2 linked regions of the Danio rerio genome follow. The protein of the gene in region 2 interacts with the protein of the main gene of each other region in a pairwise test. Links are inferred from orthologs where the notes say so. Each region holds a gene or a part of one and is shown on either strand. Other genes may lie near its edges.

Region 1 (16,016 bases), on a different chromosome or scaffold from region 2:
CAATAGAATTCACGAGAATTATTTACCTGACTAGCCTATGAAAGTTTCAGAAGATTAGTTAAAATAAAACTTTGTGGGACGTTGGCTAATTTTTAATCAGCTCTTACATCAAACTGAGCTAAGAAATGTTGTTCTTACCCAGTGCAATCATAAATGGAGGGTAAAGCAGACACAGGTCTGTTCTGTAGGTGTCGTTCACTATTCTCCTATAAACACATGAAAAACCATTCAAATCAGACATCTGTATACATTTATCCATCTTGCTTTTTAACATGTGAGACTTGTAAAAAACAGTGATCAACAACAGTGCAGTAAAATGTGGATCTAAATGGCAAAAAATGTGTGCAATGCAATGAGTTTGTCTTGTTTCTAGTCCAAATATCTAAAACTTCTTAAATCAAGAAACATCTTCAAGACCAGGAGTGTCCACACTGCCCTGGAGGGCCGGTGTCCTGGAGAGTTTAGCTCCAACCCTAATCAAACACACCTGAACAAGCTAATCAAGCTCTTACTAGGTATACTAGAAACTTCCAGGCAAGAATGTTGAAGCAAGTTGGAGCTTAAGTCAGCAGGACACCAGCCCTCCAGGTCCAACTTTGGAAACCCCTGTTCTAGGCGTTTAAAATGTTGTCAGAAAAAAGTCAAAATTGAGTGAGTTTTTCCTTAATGCTAGCAAAATAATCTGCCTAATAATCAGGGGTGAGTAAAAAAAATTTTTTTTGGTTTGCAATAAGATTGTTTTATGTACCCCATTGGCAGATTATTTTGCTTGTTTTAAGAAAAAACTCACTTAATTTTGACAACTTTTTTCTGAAAACAAAACAATATTTTTACTTGTCTAATGTCTTGATATAAGAATATTAAGATATTTTGACTAAAAACAACACAAAAAACTAAATAAAAAAGCATATTTTTGCAGTGTGCTGAATAATCATTCTATATATAGTCAGATATACATATTCTATATGCAGTATATAGTCAGACTGTAATGTAATGTGATGTATTTTTTATTTACGGAAATAAACCATAGCAACAGCAACCAAGGCTATTTTCATGGCAAGAACATTTCAATAATAAATAAACAATTTAAAACAACAAACAAATAAAAACACAAGTTAAGTAAGATATTTTTGTGTTAATAATACATGATAAGAATTCTGGTTTCACTTTGCTAAAAATGTCCTTAAGAGAGTTCATTTCATTAAAAAAGTCTTCTGGAATTATTAAAAGCAGGACAGTCCAGTGAAATGTGTGGGGAGTTGTGCAGAACAAACATTGAGTGGGGTCTTCATCTTTAAGTGAAAAGGCGTGAGTTAATCTTGTATGTCCAACACAACATCTAGTAAAAATCACTCGATCAAATAGTCTTAAAATTCTGTTTGACATTTCAGGTTGTATTTCATGTAATTTATTAATTTCCAATGCATTCCACTCCTCTTGCCACTTATTTAAAATGTAGATGTTGATAAAAAGGTATAGTCAGACTGAAACGCCTCAATAATAAGAGCTTCAAAAAAATGTTCAACATCAGAAAATTTGTCTAACAATAATTTCGGTTTGTTTTTCACCAAACCTTATCATATGTCTACAGAATAATTGCAATACATGGCATTTGTTACATGGAATTATTCTTTGATATGTTTGCATTTTTATTCATATATTAACATTATTCTTATATTTACACACCCTCAAACCTTTATAAACCTTTGTGTTTATAAAGGCTGCTGAACACAAAACAACATACTTTTTGAATGTTTGAAACAGTTGACCACTGACTTCCATAGTAGGAAAAAAGTCAATGGTTACCACATTCCAACATTTTTCAAAACATCTTCTTTTGTGTTCAAAGGAAAAAAAGAAATTCAAACAGGTTTGCAACGAGTGAAGATTGGCAGAATGTTCTGTTTTGGGTGAACTACCTCCTTAAGTGTGATTGTGATTTAACTACCATTACACAGGCATGCATGAGCATCAAGAAGTTCTCATGCAAAAAGGAATGAACAGTATAGGGCATTAAAAAAACAACAAAGAGATAGACGATTGGGCGAACAATCCCTTTAACCAGCATATAAAAGAAGTAGAGGTTTCTACTGAATCCACACACACTCCTCACCAAGCCAGCGGCAGCAGCATGTCCTCCTGCCCCATGTCCTGCACATACTGCAATAGCGGCCTGTACGGATGATACACGATCAGACAGCAGTCCTGAAACAAAACCAAACCAAACATCCATCAACAAACGCTGAAAACACAACTTCAAGACAACCTCAAGAATCCATCAATACCAACCATGAGCTCCAGCAAGTAGAATTCACACTCCAGGATCTAGCGAGATAAAGGCATAAGTTCACTGTGAAATCATGGCGTTAGCATGTTATGCGCACTAATTGGCATTTTCCCCCCTTTACTAAATGGAGACCGCAATGTTTCCTTTACACCACCTGACTAGTGCTGTGCTGAATAAACAACACTGCTAGTAATCATATGGCACTTATCACCAGCCCGAGACATGAACGGCCAAAACCAGAAGTCATCTATCAGGATAATGAGACTTTCCTACGAAGGTGTTGCGAGTGTGAGGAATTTCACTCCTGAACGGGTGTCAGAAACACTGCATCATCAGCACACACACACTCAAACTCTCGACTAGTGTTTCCATCATATGAATCAGACAAGTTACAAGAAATTATTATCTGGATGTATAGTGATGCTGTCAGATTTCCAAAATCTCCTAGTGAAGTCATGCTCTCGGGAAAGACTCTCACATGACGGTCTCATCATGTTTTCTGATGTAGTGAAACAAAGACGTTTGACTCACGTGGTTCATTCTGAAGGGAAACTCCTTTGGGAAGGCATAAGAGAACCTTGTTTTCACTATTAAAAAAAGAAAAGTCTGAGAAATACATATATATTACAAAAGTGACTATTGAGGAAGACATTAAACTGTTTTTTTAGTATAATCGGGATATGCTTATATTTTGTTTTCATTTTAGTTTTTTCATGATTACATTTTTAAACACGTCTATATAGTGTTTTGTTAGTTGTTTTTATATATCAAATTAAACTAAATTAAATTTAGTAATAGCAACAATTCCTTGGCTATTAGATCAAATAAATTACAATATAATATAGATTTTCTTATTTGAATATATTGTGCAACTTCATATAATGTATATATAAAAAGTGTTTGTATATGTATATACAGTTGAAGTCTGAATTATTAGCCCTCCTTTGATTATTATTATTTTTTTAAATATGTCCCAAACGATGTTTAACAGAGCAAGAAAATTTTTACAGCATGTTTGATAATATTTTCTCTTCTGGAGAAAGTCTTATTTGTTTTATTTTGGGGAGAATAAAAGCAGTTTTTGATTTTTTTAAACACCATTTTAAGGACTAAATTATTAGCCCCTTTAAGCTATATTTTTTCGATTGTCAACAGAACAAACCATCGTCATACAATAACTTGCCTAATTACTCTAACCTGCCTAGTAAACCTAGTTAAGCCTTTAAATGTCACTTAAAGCTGTACAGAAGTGTCTTAGAAATTAGTTATTAAAACTTTTATGATTAGAAACGTGTTGAAAAAAATTGTTAATCAGAAAATGGGGGAAAAACTAAACAGGGGGGGGGGGGGGGGGGGGGGCTAATAATTCTGACTTCAACTGTATAAAGAGTTCAGATGAAAAAACTTCAGTGACGTCTGAAATTTTCCTCTAAAAGTTGTGTTTTTCTCAGCCTCCAATATTTATGATCAGTTACTCCACTTTAAAGGCAATGCAAATAACCTATTATTTGCCATAAGAGTAAAATTACTGAAGTGACACACAAAAGCCTGAGGAAAAATGCTAATTTTAGATGAAAATCTCAGATGGGACTTTTCTCTCTTTATATACAAAAAAATAACTTATTATAAAATATACAAGTACAATTTAAACTATATATATACATATAATATAATACATATAATATAACATATAATAACATAATAATAACATATAACATATAATATAATATAAAATACATATATTTTATTAACATAAAAAAAAATTATGATTGTAAAATATAACCCACTTACACACAGACGTTGCTGCTGAAATAAGCCGAGTGTTTGAAACGACACCAAATTCCTGTTGACAGCAGAATTTTAGTGTTAAAATGCAGTTTCAAACATCTTTCAGCAGAAATCTGAATAAATATTGTGTTTACAGTGCTCAGTACACCCCTCACAAATCTCTCTTTTAAGTTAATATTTTCTATAGGATGATTTACAATATTATATTTGTGCATATACATTAGTTTAGTCAGTACTGAAGTCAAATTCTGGAGCTAAAAATATAAAAAAATAAAAAGTTAAAAAAAAAGTATGATGACGGTCTAAAAATTAGGTCAAATGTATATAATAAGACAAATATTAAATAAAATTGTAAAAAATAGAATAAAAATCAAGAAAAACAAAAAAAATGTAACATATAGTTGAAATTTCAGTTTGTCATTTTTTTGCAATGTTTTGCATGACTGTACATGCATTATCTTTCTATTTCTAAAGATGATTGGTGACAAAAAAAATATTTTAATAAATATATCAGTTTAATAAATCTGTTTTGTTCAAATATGCCAAAATCTATTACCTATGATGACTGAGACATGGTAAAAAAATATTTATTTTCAAAAAATGTTTTACTCATTTATGCCAAGCACTTTATATTATATACAGACAGAGTATTTACCTCTACTTTAGAGGCCAGAAACACACATGTTGGGGCCATTAACACAGGGTCAATGCTCTTCAGAGAGTACCTGAAAAAACAGCCAAGAGTTTTTCCTTTTATTTCATGAACTAAAGAGTACTTAAATGAAAGCCACAGAACAAAAATAGAGCACCACATTACATGAAAAACACAAGAGCCTAGATGAATCTAGAAGAGGAATCTTTAGAAGAAAACAAGCTTTTAATGATGGCACTGCACTGCTCACCTGGCATAGAAACGCTTAAAGTAGACAGTTGCCGTGGCGATGACCTGCTGTCTGAGTTTCAAGTGTTCGCCCAAGGCTTGAATCACTGTCACAAGAGGACGAATTAAACATTTTAAAGTGTTTAAGCTGTTTAAACTTTTAGGCTTTAAGTTAGCTTTGCATTTAAATCCCAAAACCAAATACAAATGAATACAAAACAGAAAAAAATATATACATTTCAATTAACGCTCCACAGTATATGTGGTAACCTAACACTTGGTCATATGGTCAAAAAATTAAGGCTCTAAGCATCAAAACATAAAGTGCCATTATTTTTCATACATTTACAGATAACTCCCCCTAAAATGTCTAACATCAAATAAATCTTGAAAGATCAATCATCTGATGATATATTAACAGATAACAGTGTAGCCCAAAAGTATTGTTATTTAAATATGTTAAAATGACAAAAAAGATTTACCAATTGTCAACAAAACTTATTTAAAATACAACAAAATTGAACAAGATCACCTATTGTTTGCATATTTTTAAATTATTACTACATTTAAATGATATAAATACCTTTGCAAACATGAAAAATATATATTTATCTATTACACCAAAGTATGAGGAAACAATATTTTCACAAAAGCTATTTAAAGCATGAAAGTAGACACTTTACTCATAGTTAATATGCTTACTATGCATAATAAAAACTCATGTTAATAAAAGTTGTTGCACATTGTCTCTTAAACCCATCTATCATTAATTGATCGCTCATCAGATGAGAGACTTTTATTGATTCCTAAATTTAGATTGAAATCTCTGCAGCTGCTGCTACACTTTGGAATGATTTCCCCGTCTTCCATTAGATTAGCTGCAAATCTGTTTCGTTTTTAATCCAAGTATAAAAACTATCTTGTTTGACAAAGCACTGAACACATGAATAAGATTTAGTTCATATTTTACTGGCGTTTAACCACGTAAAAGCTTTTAATTAGCCTTTTTATTTACTTGTTTTTGACTTATTCTTGCTGTTTGTGGATTTTAGTTAATGTTAAGCACATCCGTCAACATGGGTTGCTTTTAATTATGCTATATAAATGAACTGCCATTGTCATATAACATGAGTAAATACTATATTGTTGAATATTTTGGTCTTGCTTTGCACTTAGTCTAGAAATACAGTTTCAGATTCAGAAAAGAGAAAACAAAACAACTAAATAAGCAATTTCTCATCAAACCATTGGCAAAAAATATCTGCAGTTTCCAGTACTCCTCTTCTGTGAGGAACTTGAGATCTTTCTGTCTCTCCTTCATCAGATCCTGCTTGTCCAGAACCCACTGCAGACTGAAAAGAACAAAGACACTTTCAATTCACAAATCATTAAAGTGTAACACACATATATTAATATTTACGTGTAATAAATACACTCTACAAGTCAAACAACAAATGTATCAGTCACTTCATATCTGGATATTAGCATTAAAACATTACTTTAATTGAGTTTATAAATGTAAATTTAATGTGTGAAAATGAATTCACGTAGTAAATAACCGATATTTATGCAAATGATTCACAAATTAATTTCTCTGTGGTTTCTTCACTAGCCAGACAGCTAAAGCTAATAAGTCAACGATTTAAACTATTAGATTTATAAAAGTCAAATAATCTAACCTCCGTATTTGAGTCTTGGTTATGACCAAAATGTGGTACTTTGTTCGCATTAATAATTCAAATATGACAATTGAAATGTTTTTTTATATCTCTTATGGTCCCGTAACCGCAGCAAAACCCCCAAAAATCCTTTATTGTGCGTGATTTAGGTAGTAAATACGAAAATACTTACTAATGTGAACTCTGCCAGAAGTTCCCTGCCATCTTGAGGTAGAAAATAAACCTTAATGTGCTGTTAAATTGTGTTTAAAATAATCGATGCTCCGTTCAGATCAGATGAGGAGCGCGACAGAAAAAACACTCCGTGGAACTTCAATGTGAAGATTAAAACGGTCCGGGAGGAAACAAACAAACGCATCAGTTCCGGAAGAGTTTTTGCGGACTTTACTGGCATCAACTTTATATTTATCTAATCGAAATTATTTTAATATAATATGATATAATATAATATATTATAATATAATATAATATAATATAATTAAATATAGTATAATATAATACAATATAATATAATATAATATAATTATAATTAAATATAATATACAATATTATAATTTAATTATAATTAAATATAATATAATATAATATAATATAATATAATATAATATAATATAATAAAATATAGTATAATATAATACAATATAATATAATTAAATATAATATACAATATTATTATTTAATTATAATATAATATAATATAATATAATATAATGCAATATATTATAATATAATGATATTGTTTTGTATTAATATAGATTCTCATGTTTTTTGTCTTTGACAGCCATAAACAAACTTTACATTGTCATTTTTTTATTACATTATCATTTGTTTTTACCCAATATACAAGGCTACAGTGACCATAAACCGTTAATTTATGATTAATAATTAGCATGCACCTCCTCGATGAAGTCAACACCAGGCTACTGTCAATCTCCAAAAAGTTTTCGACACTTTTAGTGCAGAGAATGTGATTAATAAAGATCTCAGGCATCAGGAAAACTCGCTCCTCTATTTTTACTGCGGTAAAACTCTTCGCGGTGACCCGTCAGATTGTTCAGCAGCGGGTTAAGTTCAAGTCAGCCCGAGGTTCGAGATTCCTCTGCGGGACAGCAGGTATAAAACTACCGCATGAATGAGTGTGAGGATACAATCACACGCTTCTGTTTCAGGACCACCGGTTTCAACATGAGCTACAGCCCGGAGAGGATGTCTTCTTACCGCAGGCACTTTGAGGGAGGCCTGGCCGCCTCGTCCACCCTCCAGGTCCGGGTCTCCAGCCCTTCTCCAACTCGCGGGGCGACTAGACACCGGTCCGCCAGCTATTCCCGCAGCACCGGCCGCAGAGCGCTGTCCGGGACACGCAAATCACGCATGACCAGGTAAAGAGACATCTAATGTAATATATTTAATGTTCTCTAATAAACGTGCTCATACTCAACAATCAAATACGTATGTAGCCTAAATAAATAATAAAAAATTTGACTAAGTTTTAATTTTAGGAAAAAACTTTACCATAGTATTTCACTGTGTTATTTGTAGCCTAACAAATGTAATGTAAAATTAATGTTCTGTACTGTAAGTGCTCATACCGGACAATCAAATAATGATGTAGCCTAAAATATAATTAAATATTTTACTGTGTTTTTAAGAAAAATATTATAATTTTACTGTGTTATAATCAGTAGCCTATAACAGATTTAAGTTAAAAATATGTAAATCAATAATTAAATATTTTAACTGTAGGCTATATATTTTTAGGAAATAATAGGCTATACTTTTATTAGCAGCCTGACACCTTTAATGTAAAGAATAATGCAGAATAAATAAGGAAAATAATATATTATTACTGTGTTATTAGTAGCCTAACACCTTTAATGTAAAGAATAATTTATAATAAATAAGGATAATAATATAATTTTAGTAGTCTAATTTGAAGAAACTGTATGTAAAAATAATGTCACTTTATGAGATATACATTACATGACTGAGCAGGCTACAGCTACAATAATATTTTAGTTAAAAGATAATACAGCTACATGACATGCTAAATACTGCAAACCTTTCAACACATTTTATATAGTTTTGGTTTCTCTTGATTTGTCCTCTTTTTATTATATATTTTTTCTTAACATACAAAATTGTGCTATTATTTTAATGTAAAGAATAATGAATAATGCTACCTAATATAGGCCACCATACTAGACAATCATTACTATGGTTAAATAAAATTATTATGTAGGCTAATCTAATATTTTTTACTGTATTTTTTGAGAAAAATAATATAATTTAATAATGAGACAATAATGAAACATTATTTAATATAATATAATATTACTTCATTATTATCAATAGCAATGTTTACTCAGTTATTACTGCGTTCTTACTACTAGTCTAATTTCTTTAACTACAGTCTGTATTTCATATTGTTTCGTGAAACATATTTTTTAAATATTACAATTGACTGTAATAACATCTCTTTGCATGTCTGATTCGCTCCACAGCAGCGTGAGTATGGGGACGCTGTGTCTCGGGATGGGTTTTGGTGGTGCTGGAGGTGCAGTGGATCTGGACGCTGCGGCCGCTGAGAATCAGGCTTTCCTCAGCACACGCACCAGCGAGAGGAAGGAGATGATAGCCCTCAATGACCGGCTGGCTGTTTACATCGAGAAGGTATAAAAAACGTCATGCCTTTCACTGTTTTGGCTCTCTCTTTGTGGTATCTATTTTGAAGACCGGTGTTTTGTTGGTCCAGGTACGTTCTCTGGAGCAGAGTAACAAGCTGCTGGAGACTGAGATTAATGCCATTAAAGGCCACCATGTGAAGCCGTCCGGCCTGCGTCTGCTTTATGAGGAACAACTGAGGGAGATGAAGAAGATTGCAGACCAGATGAAAATCCAACGGGTGAGACATGATGAACCACAGAGCCACTAATGCACACACTATTCACCAATTTGCCCTACTCGCTCATAGTTTTCCCCCATAATTTTATTTTCACAAAAGTTATGTGCATCTAATTATGTGCATCTAATTAAATGTAATTATGTTAAATTAAATGTCTATTTAATCTTTATTTTTCATGATTTTATTATGATTAAATCCAAAAAATATTGACTTTGAAATGAAATAACTGTGTTTTGGCAAATGGCTGAAATGCAATAATAATAAAAGCAGAACCCCGGTAAAGTCACTAATTGACCGACACTGATTGGCCTATTAAATGTGGCCATATTTAATGTATGTATAATGTATTACAGGACCTGGCAGTAGCAGCAAAGGATGCCATGGCAGGTCAGCTGGAAATGCTGAAGGTGAAATACGAGGAGGCGTTGGAGGCCAGGAAGAAGGCAGAGCTCGAGATTGAAGCCTTCAGACCGGTAAAGTCCAATGTAATAACAAAAACACAGCTGTTTTTACATAACAATGGTGTCTAAACTCCCTCTGTCCACTAGGATGTGGATGCAGCCACCTCTGCCCGAATTGCCTTGGAAAAACGACTGGAAAATCTGGAAGTGGAGCTCGAGTTCTTGCAGAGGATTCACAAAAAGGTGCACAACACGCAATTTACTCACAGCCACGCTGTTTGCTACTCAGCACAAGTTGATTGGTCAGATTCTGCAACCAATGAAAATGCTTGTTTAACAATTAAACATTATGGCTCAGTGTTCACTGTAAAATAAGCCAATTTGAAGCCCTCCACATCCTCCAGCATCACCTGTCTAAACCTCAAATGGTATGCATGTGTGCTACTTTATAGTCAAAACCCCTTCCCCTTCCCCTGAGGGTGCTTTCACACCTGTAGTACCTTTGGTTCAAACCAAGGGTAAACATTATACATTGTAGCATTTTCAGCCATTTTGTTTCTGTTTCACACCAGACTGCTCCGAACCAGTTTAAATACACCAAAATATAACAGCATCCACATCAGTGTATGGCTGGCCGCATTTTCTAAACTGCATTTTGCTAAACTTCCTAAATCCTCCAACTGCACCTGTCTAACTGTGGTGATGGAGGATATATGTACACCTATTCATAATCAAAATAACTTTCTGTTCCTCTTCAGTCATATATCTTCCCTGATTACATGTTTAGTGTGAGGGCGGGATCAATCTGACAATCAAATAAAATCGACCAATAGCAAACAACAACCATACGATTTATTCACAATAGACGAAATCAAGCCCCTCCTTTTTCAACCTTTGTTTGAGGAGCTGTTTTTCCCACAACAGAAAACAATCTCAGCTTGAATTTTTATTATTGTTTTTTTTTTTTTTTCTGTCAGGAAATCGAGGAGTTGATGGCTCAAATTTATGGATCTGTGGCTAAAGTAGATGTGGCCTTCTCTTTGCCCGATCTGGCGTCTGCCCTCAAACAGATCCAGGCTCAGTATGACAGTATCGCTGCGCAAAACCTCCAGGTAAAAATAAATACAGTTGAAGTCAGAATTATTAACCCCCCTCAAATATTTTTCTTCATTTTTAAATATTTTCCAAATGATGTTTAACAGAGCAAGGAAATTTTCACAGTATGTCTGATAATATTTTTTTCTTCTGGAGAAAGTTTTATTTGTTTTATTTCGGCTTGAATAAAAGCAGTTTTTAATTTTTTAAGCACAACTTTGGGGACAAAATTCTTAGCCCCTTTAAGCTATATTTTTTCTCGATAATCTACAGAACAAACCATCGTTATACAATAACTTGCCTAATTACCCTAACCTGCCAAAGTAACCTAATTAACCCAGTTAAGCCTTTAAATGTCACTTTAAGCTGTGTAGAAGTGTCTTGAAAAATATCTATTAAAATATTATTTACAGTCATCATGGCAAAGATAAAATAAATCAGTTATTATAGATGAGTTATTAAAACTATTATGTTTAGAAATGTGTTGGAAAAATTTGCTCTCCGTTAAACAGAAATTGGGAGAAAAAAATAAACAAGCGGTCTAAAAATTCAGGGGGGCTAATAAATCTGACTTCAACTGTACTATGAAATGCTCAATCTGTCATTTGTGTATGATGAGATGATTCATCTGAAGGGGCTCATGCTCTTAATAATAATACATTTGGAAATAAAATGTAAACAATGCCACTTTTCATAGCACTGAACCTGGATCTTTTTGTGTTTCCTTGCTGGCGTGTGTCTAGGATATGGACGCCTGGTACAAAGGAAAGTTTCAAGATCTAAACAATGTATCGTCTCGGCACATGGAAACAGCGAGAAGCGCCAGAGAGGAAATCATGGGATACAAGAAGGAGGTGAGGGAAAGCGTGGGTCACTATTAACACCAAATGATGCAGAATTATTAACATTCTGCACACGTGTTTACAGATACAGAACAAACAGAGGGAACTGGATGCCCTTAAAAACAGGAATGAGGCACTGCTGCTGATGATCAAGGAGGCGCAGGAGAATTACAGGAAAGAGGAGGAGGAGCTACATGTAAGGACACGCCCCGATACTAAATACTATTATTAAATTCAACTCAAGTTTATTAGTATAGCGCTTTTCATAATAAGTATTGTCAAAGCAGCTTTAATAAAGGTGTACATTGTTGCATTACAATCCAAATCAGAGGTTGTTAGCTACCATAACTTTATTAGTTCCTAATAACCGTAACTAATTAACAAGTAACCAATAGCTTTTAACAGTTAAAGTGATTATATTCAAGCATACTAAAAACATGTTTGTTTTGATCATGTGTAGACGCGTATAGAGACTCTTAAAGAGGAACTGAGGTCTATCAAGGGGAAGATCGCGCTGCTGCTGAGAGAATATCAGGATCTGCTCAATGTTAAGATGTCACTGGAGATTGAAATCACCACATACAGGTACTGCCATTGTATCATATTATCTTGAGCAAGATATTCATTTTTGTTTAATTGACAAGACTGTAAACATCCCGAATCAATAGGGGTGTAATGGTCATTTAATGAAATTACTTAAAAGGCAGAATTTAAATGGGTTGAGGCAAGCAAAGTCAAAATATTATACATTTTATTATTATTTTATAATACATTGGCAAGGCAAGGCAAGTTGATTTATATAGCACATTTCATACACAGTGGCAATTCAAAGTGCTTTACATAAACAGGAATAAAAAAAGACAAGTTTAGGAACATAAAATGCAGACAATAAAATTATTAAAAACAGATGAAAACAAATTAAAATGAGTTAAAATAGGTTATAAAAGAATGAAAAAGAAAACGAAAAACATAATAGTGCAATCTGTCGGATGTAGCACAGTGCTCATACAGTAAAGGCACAGCTAAACAGATGTGTTTTCAGTCTCGATTTGAATATGCCTAATGTTGGAGCACATCTGATCATTTCTGGAAGCTGATTCCAGCAGCGAGGGGCGTAGTGGCTGAAGGCGGATTCACCCTGCTTAGACTGAACTCTTGGAACTTCTAGTTTATATGATCCTAAAGATCTGAGTGATCTGTTAGGTTTGTATTCAGTGAGCTTATCTGTAATGTATTGAGGTCCTAGGCCATTTAGTGATTTATAGACAAGTAATAATACTTTAAAATCTATTCTGAATGTAACTGGGAGCCAGTGTAGAGACCTGAGGACAGGTGTGATGTGCTCTGATTTTCTGCTTCTGGTCAGAATCCTGGCCGCAGCGTATATTACATATTATGTTTATTTTCCATATTTTCACCCATACAGTAATTTAATTTAGTTTTCAAATGTAAACAAATGTTATTGTTGCCTCAAATTCAATTACTAATTGAATCACATCAATAGCTGCCTATATTTATATATAGGCTTGGTTAATTAGGCAAGTTAGGGTAATTTGATAAATCATTGTTTAACAGTGGTTTGTTCTGTAGACAATGGAAAAAAAATATAGCTTAACGGGGCTAATAATTTTGACCTTTAAATGCTTTTAAAAATATATAACAACTGCTTTTATTCAATCGGAAATAAAACAAATAAGATTTTCTCCAGAAGAAAAAATGTTATAGGAAATACTGTGAAAAATTCCCTGCTCTGTTACACATCATTTAGAAAATATTTGAAAAAGAAAAGAAAATTACATGGGAGGGCGAATAATTGTGACTTCAACTAATATACAGTTGAAGTTAGAATTATCAGCCCCCTTTAAATTTACTTTTTCTTTTTTAAATATTTTTTAAATGATGTTTAACAGAGCAGGGAATTTTTCACAGTATGTCTGATAATTTTTTTTCTTCTGGAGAAACTCTTATTTGTTTTATTTCGGCTAGAATAAAAGCAGTTTTTAATTTTTTAAACACAATTTTAGGGACAAAATTATTATTAGCCTTTTTAAGCTATATTTTTTCTAGATAGTCTACAGAACAAACCATCGTTATACAATAACTTGCCTAATTAACCTAACCTGCCAAAGTAACCTAATTAACCCAGTTAAGCCTTTAAATGTCACTTTAAGCTGTATAGAAGTGTCTTGAAAAATATCTATTAAAATATTATTTACAGTCATCATGGCAAAGATAAAATAAATCAGTTATTAGGGATGACTTATTAAAACTATTATGTTTAGGAATGTGTTGAAAAAAATTTGCTCTCCGTTAAACAGAAACTGGGGAAAAAAAATAAACAAGCGGTCTAAAAATTCAGGGGGGCTAATAAATCTGACTTCAACTGTATATTTCTTATATATTGTCCACTTCCCATATTGTTTTCCTTGTGTTTTTGCAGGAAGCTGATAGAGGGAGAAGACAGTCGCTTGTCCAGCATGGTGGGTGGTCTATCACTCATGGGTGGCAGTGTGAGTTCAGGACTGGTCAGCAGTGTTTCAGCGTACAGTTCAGCAGCAGCAGCAGCAGCAGCAGTGAGTTCGGCCGCCTCAGAGAAGATGATCTCCAGTAACTCAACGCTCAACCACAACCATCACGAGTCTGTGGAGGAGTTCACTCATGAGCAGGCTGTGGAGATGACAGAGAGGAAGACCGTCCTCATTAGGTAGAAGTAACCTGCTCTACCAGGTCGCCTGGTGGCTTAGTTGTTAGCCTCACAGCAAGAAGGTCGCTGGTTCGAGTCCCGGCTGGGCCAGTTGGTCTTTCTGTGTAAAGTTTGCATGTTCTCCCTGTGTTCATCTGGCTTTCTTCTGAGTGCTCCGGTTTCCCCCACAGTCCAAACACATGCGGTATAGGTGAATTGAATAAACTAAATTGGCTGTAGTGAATGAGTGTGTATGGGTGTTTCCCAGTAATTGGGTTGCAGCTGGAATATACATGAATATAACCTGCAGTTAGTGTATAGGTGATGTCTTTGTGTGTATGACCATTTTAAAAGCCCATTAAATCAATCAATGTTGCTCTTCCAGCTAATTCCCATCTCTGTTTTGTTGCAGAACAGTTAAGACAGATGAAGACACGATTCAAAAGGACACAGAAGAACGTACCATCACCATTTCTGGAGCAGCAGACGAGGACGAGTGATGTAGAGCAGCCCTGTTCCTGAAAGCACAACAGTACATATTTGGGATGTCTCCCTTATCTGACCCATTCATTTGAAGTTTTGGATCTCTTCTAATGATCTGATGAGTTGATTCAGGTGTGTTTGATCAGGGAGAGGTTAAAAATGTGTAATGCTGGTGTGCCTTCAGGAACAGGGTTGGGATACACTGCTTTAACCGGAGGACCACCAGCTCTGCACATTTTCCATTTGTCTTTAACCAAACACACCTGAATTTGATCATCAGCTCATTAGCAGAGACCGAACTAACTGTAATTGGTGTGACAAAGGAGACATCTAAAACATGCAGTGTTGGTGGTCCTCCAGGAGCGTGGTTGAGAAACACCTGGAATTAACCATATTATATTATTTTGCAAGATACAAAATCACTAAAATTTCTCATCGTTTACTGTCTGCCTTAGGCTTTGACGAAAGTAAAGGGTGCCCAAACTTGGTTCTGGAGGGCCGCTGTCCTGCATATTTTAGTTCCAACCCCAATTAAACACAAATGAAGCTGCTAATCAGGTATGCTAGAAACGTCCAGGCAGGTGTGTTGAAGGAAGTTGGAGCTAAACTATGCAGGACACCGGCCCTCCAGGACTGAGTTTGGACACTGTTGGACTAAACCTTTATAACAAGTGTGTATTCAAGCTTTTAACCTTGTGTCATTGCAGTGTTCAAGAGGAATAAAGACTCATCGCACAGCAGTTGTTTTCCGATGATTTGTCAACTAATTTACAGCCATTTTTACAATAAACATCAGACTGAGAAACAACAAAATCAAAAAATATTTATTTTATAAAACTCCATTAGCAAGTTTAATCAGAGAAACATCAGTATATAAATCACATGGTTTTCTGAGGAATCCTGTATGTTTTACATTAGGTCTTAGTCTTCTAACTTCATCTATTAAAATAAGGCTTTTATTGAGAAGCTGCCTCGT
Region 2 (16,089 bases):
GAATCATTATTTACAAAATAAGAGAGGTCATACAATATATTATATTGTATTTTTTATTAATAAGATTTGAAATCTAGAATAGGATTTCTAGAATAAGATATTATACATAAAATATGTTTACAAACAGTCCACAAAATAGAAGATAGTTGTAATTGATAAAAATACCTACTGCAAATGTTTGGTTCTTAATGCTGCGTGTGGTTACCTGGATGATCTGAACCTATTTTAACACACTTTAATCTGTTTTAATCACTTTTATTATTTGCTTTTTATACTTGTCTCTTTTATTCCTGTTTATGTAAAGCACTTTGAATTACCATTATGTATGAAATGTGCTATATTAATAAACTGGCCTTGCCTTGCAACAGTTTTGTTTTGCTTTTTGATGATTGTTCATGATCCACTTGTTTGTTTTGAAAACTTAAACTGCCTCAATTTTCCAGCATCTTTTGTATATTTGAAGCATATCAGCAGTGACTGTACACTACCTAACAAAAGCCTTGACGTCATTCCCAATTGTAAGAGCAACAAATAATAACTTGACTTCTAGTTGTTATTATTATAGAAAAAGTGGTAGAAGTTATGTTTTACTGATGAATCATCTGTTGAACTGCATCCCAATCATCACAAATATTGCAGAAGATCTATTGGAGCCGCATGGACCCAGGATTCTCACAGAAATCAGTCAAGTTTGGAGAAGCAAAACCATGGTTTAGGGTTACATTTAGTATGGGGCATGCAAAAGATCAGCATAGTGTATGGCAACATCAACAGCCTGAGGTATCAAAACATTTGTGCTGCCCATTAAATTACAAACCAAAGGAGAGGGCAAATTCTTTAGCAGGATAGCGCTCCTTCTCATACTTCAGCCTCAAATCACTTCGAAGTTCCTGAAAGCAAAGAAGGTCAAGGTGCTCCAGGATTGGTCAGTCCAGTCCCCAGATGTGAACATTATTGAATATCTCTGGAGTTAGATGAAAGAGGAGGCATTGAAGATGAATCCAAAGAATCTTGATGAACTCTAGGAGTCCTGCAAGAACGCTTTCTTTGCCATTCGAGATGACTTTATTAGTAAGTTATTTGAGTCATTGCAGAGATGTATGGATGCAGTCCTCCAAGCGTATGGGAGACATACACAATATGAATTCTTTTTTTCACTGGACCATGACTTCATATTCTATACTGTACATTATTTCTGTTAAGTGACAAGACTTTTGTCTAAGCAAAGTCAAACCTTACTGTTCTAAGTAAATAATTCAAAATCAAGACATGATCATATTTTATTTTGGTTAAATAAGCAGAATCTAGAGGCCTTTGCCTTTTATATAAGCCACTTCTGATACAAAATGATCAACTAGAAATCAATTTATCATTTGTTCTTCTTTTCTTTAGGAATATGTCCAAGTTTTGTTGAATATATCTTTTTTTCCCCTATTTAGTACTCTACTTCAGAAGAAACAAAATATAATAATTACATGTTTCCTGGAAAACAATTTACATTGACCTTCCATCCCTTAATGCATCTTGTTTCCTTCTGGAGAGAACATTTTTTAATAGTTGTATGGTGGAAAATTCAATCTTACAGATCTTCAATGTTTTTGAAACATTGCGTAAGCATCTTTTTCATCTTAAGATATAGTCTGGGATATGGATAAGATCTCTGTTTGACAGAGTTTGTGCAGAGCCTTAATTTAAGTTTGGGAAAGAGACCCAAGAACTTACGTCAGGTATTACCATATAGATATGGCTGTCTAACCTTTTCTTAGAAAAGAAGAAATCATCTTTAAATATAATTGCACATGTTTGTCTCTTATTCAGAGTTTTACATGGCCAGGACAGTTCCAGGTAACCATAGAGTTTTAAAACGCCTTTTTATTATATTTTGTTTAATTTGATTGAGCACATGCTTAATGTTTTCTTAGGGTATGTGTATAATCACCCTTTAAAAGGTTCACAAATAGATTCTCTTCCTCCTTTTTCATTTTTTATTTAATTTATTTCCATAACAGATAATGTTTGGCTACTAATTTTTGGAGTGTTATAGTAAGTTATTTTGTTTAGCTCCAGATATGGTTTCAGTACTGACTGATCTAATGTATATGCACAAAAGTAACATTGTAAATCATCCTATATTTAATATGCAATATATTATAAATTCTAATAATAATGACTCAAATGTAAATTTCTTTTTACTTAGGGCCAATTATTGCAGTGAAGACTGGTGCTCACTGCAGAACAAAAAACCAAGTCCCAAAAAACATTTGACCTATTTCACTTCATGTGTTGTTTCGATTCTCAGTTACTAGACCTCTTTTGTTCCAAGTCCAGAGGAATGCTGTCAGACAGTGCTTAGAGGTGCAATACTGTAAACACGCATAAAAATCTCGCTGCACCCTGTTTCTCTCCTGTCCTTAGGGCACATCAGCCATTCATTTTATTGGCTGTCGTCAGGTCTTCTAACAAAGCGACATTTCGAAAGTAAACATATTTTAAAGTCTATTGGTCTTTTGTACTATGAAGGATAATTTACTATACCTGCTTTTGGGTTCATACAAGAAGGGCTCTTTTTCTCCATCTTTCTCCTCTTCCTATACTTCCCAGTATCCACATTATCACCGTTGCTGCTATTCTCGCTGGAAAGAACTGCATGATGATGCCTAACAAAAAAGACATACAATTATCAGATTTAAGGCAAGACACTGCAGGTGAAAATGAAAATAATTAACTTACGTATACAATTGAAGTCAGAATTATTAGCCCATCTGTTTATGTTTCCCAACTTCTCTTTAATAGAGAGAAGTTTTTTCAACACATTTCTAAACATAATAGTTTTAATTTCTAATAACTGATTTATTTTATCTTTGCCATGATGAGAGTAAAAAATATTTTACTAGAAATTTTTCAAGACACTTCTATATAGCTTAAAGTAACATTTAAAGGCTCAACTAGGTTAATTAGGTTAACTAGGCAGGTTAGGTTAGGTGGGTTATGTGCAGTCAGGTGCAAAGTTCTTGTTTAATTTTGCTATATTAGAGTAAATAATTTTACAATGGGATTTTGAGCATCTACATCACTTCATTATACAAAACATTCTGCAAACAAGATTTTTTTTACCAAATTAATTTGTAAATAAATTAAACTATTCATGAATTTCTTTTTTGTAAAAAAAAAAAAACTTTAAATTGTGAATATGTATAGAACGTAAAGTTTATAACTTAGAGAAAACTGCAGGTCAATAGGGTGAAAACTTACGTAACATATTTACCACCCTGCTTCCAGAATTGATTGACTAAAATCTAGGTTTTTGAAATGTTGTATTTAGATATGCAAATGAGATATTCATTAAATATGCACTAATTTCCATTCATTTTAGCATAAAGAAATAATACTGGATGAAGTCAGGTTCAGACTTGTTTAATTTATTTGACATATTACAGTCAAAAGAATTTACATGCCAATGGTATTTAGGTAATCTATATCACTCTACAATTCAGAAAATACCTCAAACAAACAGATTTTTTAAAAAGTGTCACTTATTTTTGCAGAATAAACCACAGATTAATCAAGCAAACTATTTATGAATATATACCACTGTAAAGAAATAAATGGATTTAAATGAATAAATAAATATGAACATGAATAAAACTTAGCTGATTTAATTCTCGACTGTAAAGTTGGACATTACATTATAAATATACAGTCAGAATATGTGTAATAAATAATAATAATAATAATAAATAAGTGCAATAAAAGAATCACTTAGATGTTTCAGATCTTTTCTTTCCATTAAACACTTAAAATAGAGAAATAAAACTTAATAAAAAAGCCAAAAAGGGCAAAACAGGTGCATGAAGACAGTGTTTTTGCCTGCAGTGTCAGATTTTAATATCAACATCAAAACAATCATTTTGACGCAGTAGAATATCAAAGATGACGTCCATCCACACAAGTTAACACACTATCAGATGGGACACTGAACTCATGCAAAGACTCAAAGCACAACAACAGATGCAAAACTCGAAGGGTGTGACATTTATCTTTCCCTTCAACAAAAGTGAAATGTTCTGATCTGAAAGCACATGATCTGAAGAGATTCTCACCGAACAACTTTGGCCGTCTCCACCCACTCAGGCTGTTGACTCTCCCAGTCATCCACCGTGATCCATTCAGAGCTCTCCGTGGCCAGTCTAGCCATCTCCAAGCGATGACAGGCTTCAATCAGGCCTTTCTTTTTATAGCCATCTCCAACTGGAGAGATTATGCCTTTCACCACTTTGTATCTTCCTGAGACAGCAAGAAATCTGAAGTTATGCATGTGTAATATGCAGGTTTTAATTGATAACAAAAGCAAGCGTGTGTCCAGAGATTTACCAGTGTCCTCAAGGTGATCGCGAGCCAGTTCGAACATTCGCAGATGCATATTTGTGATGGGGTTGAAGGAGCCACATGCCAGCAGAACCAGCTTGATTTTCTCTTGTGATGCCATCGATCATGAGAAAGATGCTGTCGGAATAGAAGATAAAATAAATCAAGACAATTAAAGCGCAACTAGGCATTTTATTTTTGAAGACAGGAATTTGTAGCATAGATTTCAAAATGATGAAAAGTAATTGTTATTTTACAATTTGACTGTCCTTCACATAACTAGGTCAGCAAAAAAGCTTTTAATTATATATATATATAAATATTTTTATTATTCTATGTATATTATTCTATATTATTATTAATAAATAGTTTTTTATTATTACTGTTTCGAAGAATAAATCACAGATTAATCAAATAAATTATTTATTAATATATACCACTGTAGAAATCTTCATTCATTCATTTTCTTTTCGGCTTATTCCCTTCATTAACCTGGGTCGTCACAGTGGAATGAACCACCAACTTATCCAGCATATGTTTTACACAGCGGATGCCCTTCTAGCTGCGACCCATCACTTGTAAACACTTATGCACACTCATTCACACACATACACTACAGACAATTTAGCTTACCGCATGTCTTGCGCTATAGGTGAACTGAATAAACTAAACTGGCCATATTGTATGTGTGTAAATGAGAGTGTATGGATGTTTCCCAGTACTGGGTTGCAGCTGGAAGGGCATTCGCTGTTTCGATTTTTCTTTACATTAGGAAATTTCCATTTCCTCTTATAAAAAGAAATAAAAAGGTTAAAAAGTCAAAGATTTTATAATAAATAATTAATAATAAAATGTTAAACGGTCACATGCTCTTTAGTCATATTTGGATAAATACGGGTCAGAATACGTTTGCAATTTTATTTCAGTATAAATATATCTGTTTCACTAAATGCCCATAAAACATTATTTCTTCAAAATCTACTAATTTTTACAAAAGTTATTTGAAATATCAAAGCGGACACTTTCTTGACATATGAAATTGCTTTTATGTGATGTTTAATGTGATTCAGACATTCTAATAATATTAATATAATCAGTGTTGGGGTAACAAATAATGTGATTTGCATAATAATATTACTTTTTCAAATAACAAGTTATTACTTAAAAGATGCTCTACATAAAAAAAGTTATAATTGAGTTACTTTTAGTTTAATTATCATGCACTCAATGAGAAAATATTTGCTTTATACTTTCAATAATCTGTATATACGGCACATATATTGGAAGTTCTCAGAAGATAACATTATGCTAAACTATTATTTTTTTTAAAGGTAAATGAAGGTTATAGTGCGCTGTTAAATGCAGAGCTCCTCTAATAAAAAAGAAAAAAGAAAGAAAAAACCTGCAAATTCTGAAAAAGATGCTATTAAAAAAAAGTAACGCCAAAGTAATGTATGGCATTACTTACCATAAAAAGTAACACAATTAATTACAATTTGGTGAGTAATGCAAGACATTACTTTCAAAAGTAACTTTCCCTAACACTGACTATAATTATATACACCACACACACACACACACACACACACACACACACACACACACACACACACACACACACACACACACACACACACACACACAAAAACTTGTCATTTATAAAAATAAATAAAAAAATTAAGTTTGTTCCTGAGGAAATTCATAATGCTACGAAATCACCAAATCTTTCCATAAAGAAAAATCTGAGCTAACTCTCTAAAGTTCTTCCTGTTTCAAAAGAAAGTAAGAGGAGGTATTTTACTATAGTTAATGACTATACTATAGAAAACAGGGAACAAGGAAGGAGGGAACAGGAAGGACATTCCTACACAGTAAATTCTATGTAGTGAGTAATTAGTTTACGATCAATTAACCTATTTAATCAACTGGGCTAAAGAATGATATTAAAAATAAATGCACAATTGTGCGCAATAATGTGTTATATAAGCAGGACTAAACGTGTTTACTTACTACCAAATCAATACATCAGTCTCGTGCTTTCCATTGAGCAGAGTGAAAAAACTTCCCCAAATTTATGATAACAAATGCCGCGAAATGTAACGTTAGTAAAGAAACAGAAAACCTGATAAATGTGTGGTTGTCAGCACTATATATACACAACACATTTTTACTGTCTATGAAACAACATAGACTGTACGGTATACAAACATTACCCTTCTCAGGACAGCTGCAAGTGTTGGACAAATGATCAATGCGCGTGCGCACATCATACGCAAGTCCTACGCTTTCGTTGTGTTCGTAATCGTCAACTCTGCGCAGAGTTTACGCAGACCGACCATAGGCTTTCTATTGAAGATCAATAGCAAGCCACACCTTAGCAAACTGGACTTAGGAACATAGCAATTGTAATTTTATCTTTAACATTGGGAGTTTTATTAATTAAATAAGATACAGGTGAGAGATACTATTTTATTAAGCTAAAACCTTTTCGTTTAGGATTCTTAAGTTCGTGCATTGGTTTGTTTATATGTGAGTGCAAGCTAAGCTAACTGCGCAGTCAGAGAGAATAAAGCACTCACTGTCTACAGAATGGGGTTTTAATCACTGATAGTAAACCAATAACAATATTTAACTTCACATGACCAACAGTAGACACTATTTCTGATCATATCAGACATGACAGGTGTGACATTCACAGATACAGTAGCAACACTATAAGGTGACCATGTTCTGTATGAATAACCTTAGAGATTGCTGAAAATATAATTTTGGATTATTTTAATTTTTTTTTTAAAGAATGGCTTCTAGAGGGAAATCAGAAACAAGCAAACTGAGACAAAACATGGAGGAACAGCTGGACCGGTTAATGCAGCAGCTCCAGGATTTAGAGGAGTGCAGGTAAACACATCTCACCAGCTCTTTCAATAACAAAATATTACAAGATTATGATCATTTTTCATTGCAGAGAGGATCTTGAAGAGGAGGAATATGAAGAAACCAAAAAAGAGACACTAGAACAGCTGAGCGAGTTCAATGACTCACTCAAGAAGCTGATGTCTGGGAATATGACACTAGTTGATGAATTAGGAGGAATGCAGCTGGTAAGAAAAAGTACATTGAATTGTATTAAAGAGATAGTTCACCAAAACAATAAAAGTTTGCTTACCCTCAAGTGGTTCTAGACATTAAAGAGTTTACACAAAAGAAAATATTTTGAAGAATGTTGAAAACCTTATTGAGGTAAAGTTGGTTTTATTTTCACACATTCATTCATTTTAATGCTATCTATATTGTTTACCGCATTCCTTTGAATATTCAGTGAGAAAAATCACATGTAACTTTAACTTTAAAACTACATTAGCACTATTTAACTGACTGTAAATCATGTTGTACTTTAATAAGTCATTTGCTGTTGATGTCATTTCCCAATTTAGAATTTGCAAATAATTATTTTCTGAAACTATATTATTAAGGGGAATGTCTGAATAAGTAAATATAAAACCAACTTTACCTTTTTAGAAAACTCTAACCATTGAGATCCGTAGTATAAACAAAAGAAAAATAATATATCTTTTTTAAATACTGTAAAATACTGTATATATTAATAAGAATATGGATGTCAATGGCCACCAGTTTTTCTATAATTTAAAAAAAATACAAATTTTATGTGAGTATGTGTTTTTTTAAAGTAGAAAGAAGCTCAAACAAGCTTGAAATGAGTGGAGGTGAAGCAAATAATGACAGAATTTCCATTTCTGGGTGAACATTCTGTTTAACATAATATTAATTTACATGTTATAGAATTATCAATTATTATTATACATTATAAATCAAAGTGTTTGGGTTAAAGATGAGGCGTCCACATTGTTAAATGTACAATTAATTCAATACACATAGGAAGTGTCTAGTCTAATGGTTCAGCTTTCTTATATAAAAATGTTAAAATATGTATGAAATAAGGTTTCATCATCATTTAGTGTAACGTTCATTAGTTTAACAGAGGGCTGGGCCATATGGCAAAAATGCAATCTCGATAATTATTTTACATATTGAATGATGACGATGTATATTTCGATATAAGTTGTTAATAAACCGAATAATTAAAAATGATTGAAGCCACAAAAATGACTGGGTCCCTTAAATGGCATAATATATTTTCGGCCAATAAATTTTCAGTGGCCAAAAAATTCAGTACATCTCTAATATCAACACACTTTTCGATTCCCATTGTTGCACATTTCTGCAGTGATTGGCTCTTAGATCATTATAGAGTAAAAAAGTGCAGAGCTTATCATTGTTATTGACGTACATTTTATCGTGATTCGATAAAATATGCTTTATAGGCTCAGCCCTAGTTTAACATACTTGTTTTGTTCATTATTCAAATGTATAACAGAAAAGTGATCATACTAAACTTTAGTTACATGCTTAACAACGTCTTGCTGACAAATGGGTAAACCCTAGGGTCAAAAAATCTAACTCTATTTCACACAGAACAACCTGTGATTGTTTAATGTCGAAGTAAATTTTTCTTAGGCGATCCAAGCTGCCATCAGTCAGGCGTTCAAGACTCCTGAAGTTATTCGGCTGTTTGCTAAAAAGCAGCCAGGGCAACTGAGGACGAGACTGGCGGAGGTGACCAACATTGTTTAATACTGACATTTTTCAAATATACGACCCCCTGCGTGCTTATGCTCATGTGCTGTTTGATGAATTCAGATGGACCGCGATGTGATGGTTGGAAAGCTCTCTAGAGATGTGTTCACTCAGCAGAAAGTAGAGATCCTCACAGCTCTGAGAAAACTTGGCGAGAAGGTGAGAGGGTTATTACTGACACTTAACTGATACTGCGTCTGTTTCAAGACTCGTGTGTGAAATGATATCTATGCTTGTTTGAATGTGCAGCTGACAACAGAGGATGAGGCGTTCCTCGCTGCCAACGCTAGTGCCACTTTGAGCCATTTTGAGAAGGTCACTGCGAGTCTGGGTAAGATGGCAATCAATCACGTGTACTATTGAGGCAACCTATCATGTTTTCTGGAATATAAGTCAAGTTTTTGGATCTGAAATCCAAAGCAAGTTATATAATGCAGTTCATTTACTCACCACTGGTCATCTGATGTCACTTTCTTTTCTTCTTCAGTAGAATATTGAAGTGATTAGTTCACCCATAAATCAAAATAAAGTTTTAACTCATCCCCTATTTGTTTCAAACCTGTTTGAATGTTTATTCTTTTCTGTTCAACACAAGAGAAGATATTTTTTACAATATTGGAAACTGCTAGTCTTCGACTTCTATAATATTTTTTTGTTCCTACTATGGAAGTCAATGGCTACAGGTTTTCAACATTCTTCTAAATATCTCTATTTGTGTTCAATTGAAGAAAGAAATTCATAAGTTTGTATCATTTTGATGGTGAGAAAACTGATCAAACTAGATAACACAGTTCATTTACTCACCTCAGGTCATCCGATGTGACATTTTCCTTCAACAGAACATAAAGCCATACAGTTCATCCTAAAATGAAAATAAAGTGTTTACTCATCCCCCCATTAGTTTTAAACCTGTTTGAATTTTTTCTGTTTAACACAAGAGAAGATATTTTTAACAATATTGGAAACTGCTAGTCATCGACTTCCATAGTAGGAACAAGGTATACTATGGAAGTCAATGGTTACAGGTTTTCAACATTCTTCATGATATCTTCATTTGTGTTCAACTGAAGAAAGAAACTTATAAAAGTTTGTATTTTTTTGTGGGTGAGAAAATTATGAGTCAATTTTTATAAAACAACACAGTTCATTTACTCACCTCAGGTCATCAGATGTCACTTTTTTTTTCTTCAGTAGAACATTAAAGTGATCAAATTCAGCCTAAAGTGAACATTTATAAGTTTTAATTCATCCTCCAATTATTTCAAACCGGTTTGAATGTTTATTTTTTTCTGTTTAACACAAGAGTAGATATTTTTAACAATATTGAAAACAGCTAGTCATTGACTTCCATAAATACTATGGAAGTCAATGGCTAGGGGTTTTCAACATTCTTCATAACATCTTCATTTGTGTTCAGCTGAAGAAAGAAACTCAAAAGTTTGTATTTTTATGAGGGTGAGAAAATTATGGTCAATTTTTACAGTTGAAGTCAGAATTATTAGCTCCCCTGAATTATTAGACCTCCTGTTTATCTGTTTTTTTATATAATAAATGATTCCCTTTTTGGCAGTGTTTTGGTTGATGCAGGGTTTTCTTCTCCCGTATTACACAGAATTGTCACACTATAAATGTCTCTTACTTCTTTCCCTAGATTAACATCAAGAAGTCGTAACAATGAGAAATGTTGTTTTTAGTGAACGTCACAGTCATTTTTGTTTGTTTTATACTTTTAATGTAAAATAGCTTTGGCAGGTTAGCAAGAAGAGCTAAAATAAATATATTTTCAATGTTTGCCAACATTTGGTTTTATTTAGGGTCTACCTGTAGCTTATCTATACTACATCACTGTGACTTATTTTCTGGAAAACATGGTATGCTTGCTAAATATGATGTTTTTAATAATCAAATATGTATTTATTTTCCAGGATCTGAGGATAAGATAATGGCCTTAGCCAGTTCTGGAGTTGGAAAGACTCAGACATAAAGTTTTACTTGGACTTTTCTTGTGAGCATGGCCTAAATGCTGCCTGTGACTTTTACAATATTTACATTTTGTGTTTGTTTTCTTTTAGTTTTTTGTAATATTCATACTTGGAACAGAACTGATTGTATGTGCCTTTATGTCTTCAGATGATCAGTCATTTGGTTTGTATCATGTACATTTTATGTTTGATTGTACGTTCTGATTTCGGTACGGTGAAAAAAAGTGTTTACATTTCTGCTGAAAGACATTCACAGTCATTTTAGAATAGCTCTTATTTTCCTGAATACAAAGAGGTAACATTTCCTTTATTCACATTGAGTTTATTTGTTTAACCCTCTGGTTGTAATTTAATTTATTAACCTTGTTATCCAATTGTTTGCCAAAAAGCCTTTTGGTTCTAGTATTTGATAGTAAAATAGACTGTAAGTAATCACTATGCATTTTAATTTGCTTTTTAACCACTGTGATATTTGTAAATATTTTGTATGTGAATATATTTGATGATTAACATCTGAGAAGTTGTCAGTGTTGTTTTCTTTTATAATTTGTCTTATTTTATTGCATTACAAATTTTACAAATAGGAAAAACTGCTTTGATTATCAATCCACCTTATGTGTGCACACTTCTAAACATTATACACTGCAGTTTTTTTTATATAAGCGAATAGAATGTGAATGTAATTTTACCATAACATTGACTGGCTTTTGAATCTTTTCTGAATCATTACGCAGCATAGAGAATTATTATTAGAGATAGATATTCATATTTTTAGTTTTTAAGCACCAGGGGGCGCTCAAGTCCAACAATACTGAGGTTAAATCGAGCATCAACACTATGGAGAGATGAGAGATGAAATGCCTGAGGAAAGATCAAGGTGAATCATTAAAAAAAAAACCTTTTGGATTTTGAAACATTTCTTTCTTTCCAACTTAAGAAGGAGGAGGATGATACTTTTTGTTTTTGTAGCAAATATTACATTATTTAGGCATAGAAACAAGCCCATATACATATTTGTATTGTATTATATGCATTCATTCATTTTCTTTTCAGCTTAGTACCTTTATTAATCAGGGGTCGCCACAGTGGAATGAACCGCCAACTTATCCAGCAAATGTTTTACACAGCGGATGCCCTTCCAGCTGCAAACCATCTCTGGGAAACATCCATACACATCACACACATACACTACGGACAATTTAGCTTACCCAATTCACCTTTACCACGTCTTTGGACTTGTGGGGGAAACCGGAACACCTGGAGGAAGCCCACGTGAACACAGTAAGAACATGCAAACTCCACACAGAAATGCCAACTGACTCAGCCAGGGCTCGAACCAGCGACCTTCTTGCTGTGAGGCAATTGTGCTACCCCATGCGCCACCGTGCTTTCCTGTAGTGTAAAATATATTATTAAAATGCATTTTTAAATAGTAAATAAAAACATATAATTATTATTATAATAATTATTATATAAATAGCTATATAAAAATACAACATACAGTTAATGTAAATGTACAATGTACACAATCATGTATTTAATCTATAAATATGTATATGTGAACATTATTGTGATTTAAGTCCACTTGCAATATGTAACACCCACATTTACATACACAAATTTTAGATTCAATATACAAATCTATATTTATTTAAATATTCAGTGTTGGGGAAGGTCATTTTTGAAAGTAATGCATTACAATGTTGAGTTACTCCTCAAAAAAGGAGTTATGTACTTATTTTTTATGGAAAGTAGTGCATTACGGCACTGCCTGAGACTTTTTTTAATAGAGGGGCTTTGCTTTTAACAACACACTGTATAACCTTTATTCACAATTGAAGTCAGAATTATTAGCCCTCCTGAATTATTAGCCCCCATGTATTTTACCCCCAATTTCTGTTTAACAGAGAGCAGATTTCTTCAACACATTTATAAACATAATAGTTTTAAAAACACATTTCTAACAACTGATTTATTTTATCTTTGCCATGATGACAGTACATAACATTTGACTAGATATTTTTCAAGACACTTCTATACAGCTTTAAGTGACATTTAAAGGCTCAACTAGGTTAATTAGGCAGGTTAGAGTAATTAGGCAAGTTATTGTATAATGATGGTTTGTTCTGGAGACAATCGAAAATATATATCGCTTAAAGGGGTTAATCGTTTTGTCCTTAAAATGTATTTTAAAAAATTAAAAACCGCTTTTATTCTAGTCAAAATAAAACAAATAAGACTTTCTCCAGAAGAAAAAGTATTATCAGACACACAACAATTTCCTTGCTCTGTTTAACATCATTTGGGAAATATTTAAAAAAAGAAAGAAAATTGTTGACTATAACTGTATCTTTAAAAAATAAAAATTATAATAATAAAAAAAGATAAAAAATAATGTTGCCTTCTGAGAACTTTCTGATGCTAAACATGCCGTACACGGAAACAATTCTTTGGATTTACTTATTTATTTATTTTTACGTCAAGTTATTGCAAACAATTTATTTGGGCTGAATTTAAACAAACAAATTAACTTGAACATTATTGAACTAAATTTGTTTGTTTAAATTCAACACAAATAAATTGTTTGCAACAGTTCTGCATGCAATACTTTTTTCAGTGAGATTAATGAAAGTTGTAAGCAATGTTTTTACTCCTTTTTGTTTTTGTCTTAGTTCAGTGAAGTCACTGTCCATTGAGACTATAATCCCCTTTTCTTCCATGTGTTCAGAATGATGAAAATACTTTTATCACAGAAATGAAGGCTCTGCCATTTTGATTTCTGTCTGTTCCTGTGGGGACTGCATTCTCTTATTGAGTGTGATCCAACGTGATTACACAAATTTTGATTCAGCTAATTATTTTTTAAAGCGAACTGATCTAAAAAGTAACTCCCCTTGACAGCCTGAAATATCAAAAGTTTGCGTTATTATATACACACACACACACAAACACACACACACACATATACATATATATATATATATATATATATATATATATATATATATATATATATATATGAGCAATATCACATGAGTAGCACTGTGTTATGGCTGTATATCGGCACTGGTGGGAGGCGTTTGGCAGAGGGTTGGCAGAGGTAGCAGACTGAGTGCCTTAGTGTCCCACCAGTGCTGATATACAGCCATATCGCACTGCTACAAGTAAGATATTGCGCTTATACAACAGTTCGACGGAACAATCGTGTATATAAATAAGAAAAATCGAACACGGAGAGTCTAAAAACCCCTTTTTATTAGGAACTACTTTCTTCCGCCATTCATTCACATCTGCAGCTGACATCAGAAAAGCAGAAACTGCTAATTCACCAACATCACTTTAGAGCTAGTATTTGAATGACTCTCTTTAGCCTAATGTCTAAAGTGATGATAAAACAAGTGATTTTGCTCACACTTTAAGATTTTAAGGCTGAACGTGACATGAAATGCCATCCATCTACAGAGATATCTTCTTACAGTGTTACAGTCTACAGTTTTTTTCTGTTGCAATCAGGATATCACAATAATTAATCCCGAAAAAAAGCAATGCAGTCACTACCAGACTGCTGTTGTGTTTGTGAGCAAATCGGTATAAATACAGCACTGCAGCATACAAAAGAGAGAGATCGACTTATAATATCACTTACCAGCATACCTGCCAAGATGTCTGAAAATCCAGGAGACCGGGTGATCGGGGTGAGGTCTCTGACACTGTTGAGAACCGGGATAGGATGCAGTGGGTTTTGGGTGACCACTGCGATCAGGTACTATACCAAAGTTGGCAACCCGGGGGTGTTTACAGACTGTACCAAAGGAGTTGCATTGGTTTATTATGTGGTGTAATACATAAAGGTGAAGCGTGAAGAGGGCTTTGTGTGATTTTACTGGCAATATATTGCACAGCAAACAGATTCAGAAAGCAGACAGAACTGTTGTATAAAATATATATAAATCATTTACTAAGCATTAGCAAATAGTAAATTCATTATCTGTTTAGAATTAACTCAACATTAATAAACATCATTAAGAAGGTTATAACTGCAGCTACAAATGCTGTATTCTTGACTTCAAAACATATTTAAAATGTGCTTAATAAATATACTTTCATACTTTGTTAATGATTTATTTTTCATTACTTAAGGAAGTATCGCATTATTTACAAACCATTTGTATTGAAGAGTAGTTGATGGTTTTTAGGATCATTCAGAATGAGTTAGTAAATGATTAATAAACTACTGAAATCAACGTTTATATGTCTTATTATTCAGGCATATGTTAATGGTTACTATGCATGTTAATAAATGCTTTATTAACTCAACTTCATGGAGTTTTGTGACCTAATCTAAAGTGAGGACTATTTATGCTTTATAAATTCCTTATAAATGACAAATAAGGATTAAGGAAATGGCTTCCTGTACAGCAATGGAAAGGTTGACTTATTCAATCAAACAAAAAATGCACATATTCTACAAGATTTGGGACTTCTTCCTTCATTTTTTAAATAACAGTGGACTGACTGTTTAGTAATCCCAAACAATGTGACTGTTAAAATACACTGTGTTTGTAATGACTAACTTTAATATACTTTCACTGGAACGTATATGTTGAAATGTCAATGTTTTAATGGTATTTATTTTTTATATATTTTAAATTTTTAACAAAATTGCCCTTTTTATTTTTATCTTTAAGTTTATTTTAGTTAATCTTTATTTTCTATTTATTTGTTTTTGTATTACTTTCCTCGCATGAGAATGCATTTTTTTATTCTATTCCTTTCTTTTTTTAATTTTTATTTTGAACGTTGGGATGGGGCGGGAGTTCTTTGATTGGTATTTGGTTACTAATACAGTTTGAATGTATCACACCTTTCTGAAATAATAAAAGTGTTAAAAAAATAATAAAAAAATAAAAATAAATGACAAATAAAGGCTCAGTTAAATTCTAAACATGAAAAATGACATAAACTACATTATTCAAATGTAACTACTACAAATGAAAAATAAATCTGCAACCCTATCTAAAAACACTGTAGAGTTTAAACATTGCATCTTATTATATAGTTAAAATATTATATTGTTGTTGTTTTA

Evidence for each region.
Region 1: the proteins of nmnat1 (region 2) and ccnc interact in binary tests that used the Homo sapiens proteins (3 or more experiments, as listed by UniProt). The two-hybrid records come from large-scale screens. The link is inferred for Danio rerio from reciprocal best matches to the Homo sapiens genes NMNAT1 and CCNC.

Annotation. Positions count from the first base shown.
Region 1 is NC_133179.1:6,191,683-6,207,698, forward strand, and holds the start of ccnc (cyclin-C), read right to left. Parts: upstream 6,929-16,016; 5' UTR 6,839-6,928; coding exon 6,807-6,838; intron 6,308-6,806; coding exon 6,201-6,307; intron 5,063-6,200; coding exon 4,978-5,062; intron 4,801-4,977; coding exon 4,731-4,800; intron 4,131-4,730; coding exon 4,079-4,130; intron 2,875-4,078; coding exon 2,819-2,874; intron 2,326-2,818; coding exon 2,290-2,325; intron 2,206-2,289; coding exon 2,114-2,205; intron 207-2,113; coding exon 139-206; intron 1-138. Other genes in the region: ngs (notochord granular surface), read left to right, coding at 7,763-8,013, 9,136-9,304, 9,387-9,536, 9,890-10,009, 10,085-10,180, 10,915-11,049, 11,776-11,886, 11,960-12,070 and 3 more. UniProt on the Homo sapiens protein: Component of the Mediator complex, a coactivator involved in regulated gene transcription of nearly all RNA polymerase II-dependent genes.
Region 2 is NC_133198.1:32,503,412-32,519,500, forward strand, and holds the start of nmnat1 (nicotinamide/nicotinic acid mononucleotide adenylyltransferase 1), read right to left. Parts: upstream 6,619-16,089; 5' UTR 6,579-6,618; intron 4,504-6,578; 5' UTR 4,487-4,503; coding exon 4,372-4,486; intron 4,285-4,371; coding exon 4,101-4,284; intron 2,658-4,100; coding exon 2,536-2,657; intron 1-2,535. Other genes in the region: nmnat1-rbp7a protein, read right to left, coding at 2,536-2,657, 4,101-4,284, 4,372-4,486; protein LZIC, read left to right, coding at 7,163-7,263, 7,331-7,466, 8,902-9,000, 9,085-9,180, 9,271-9,352, 10,947-11,005.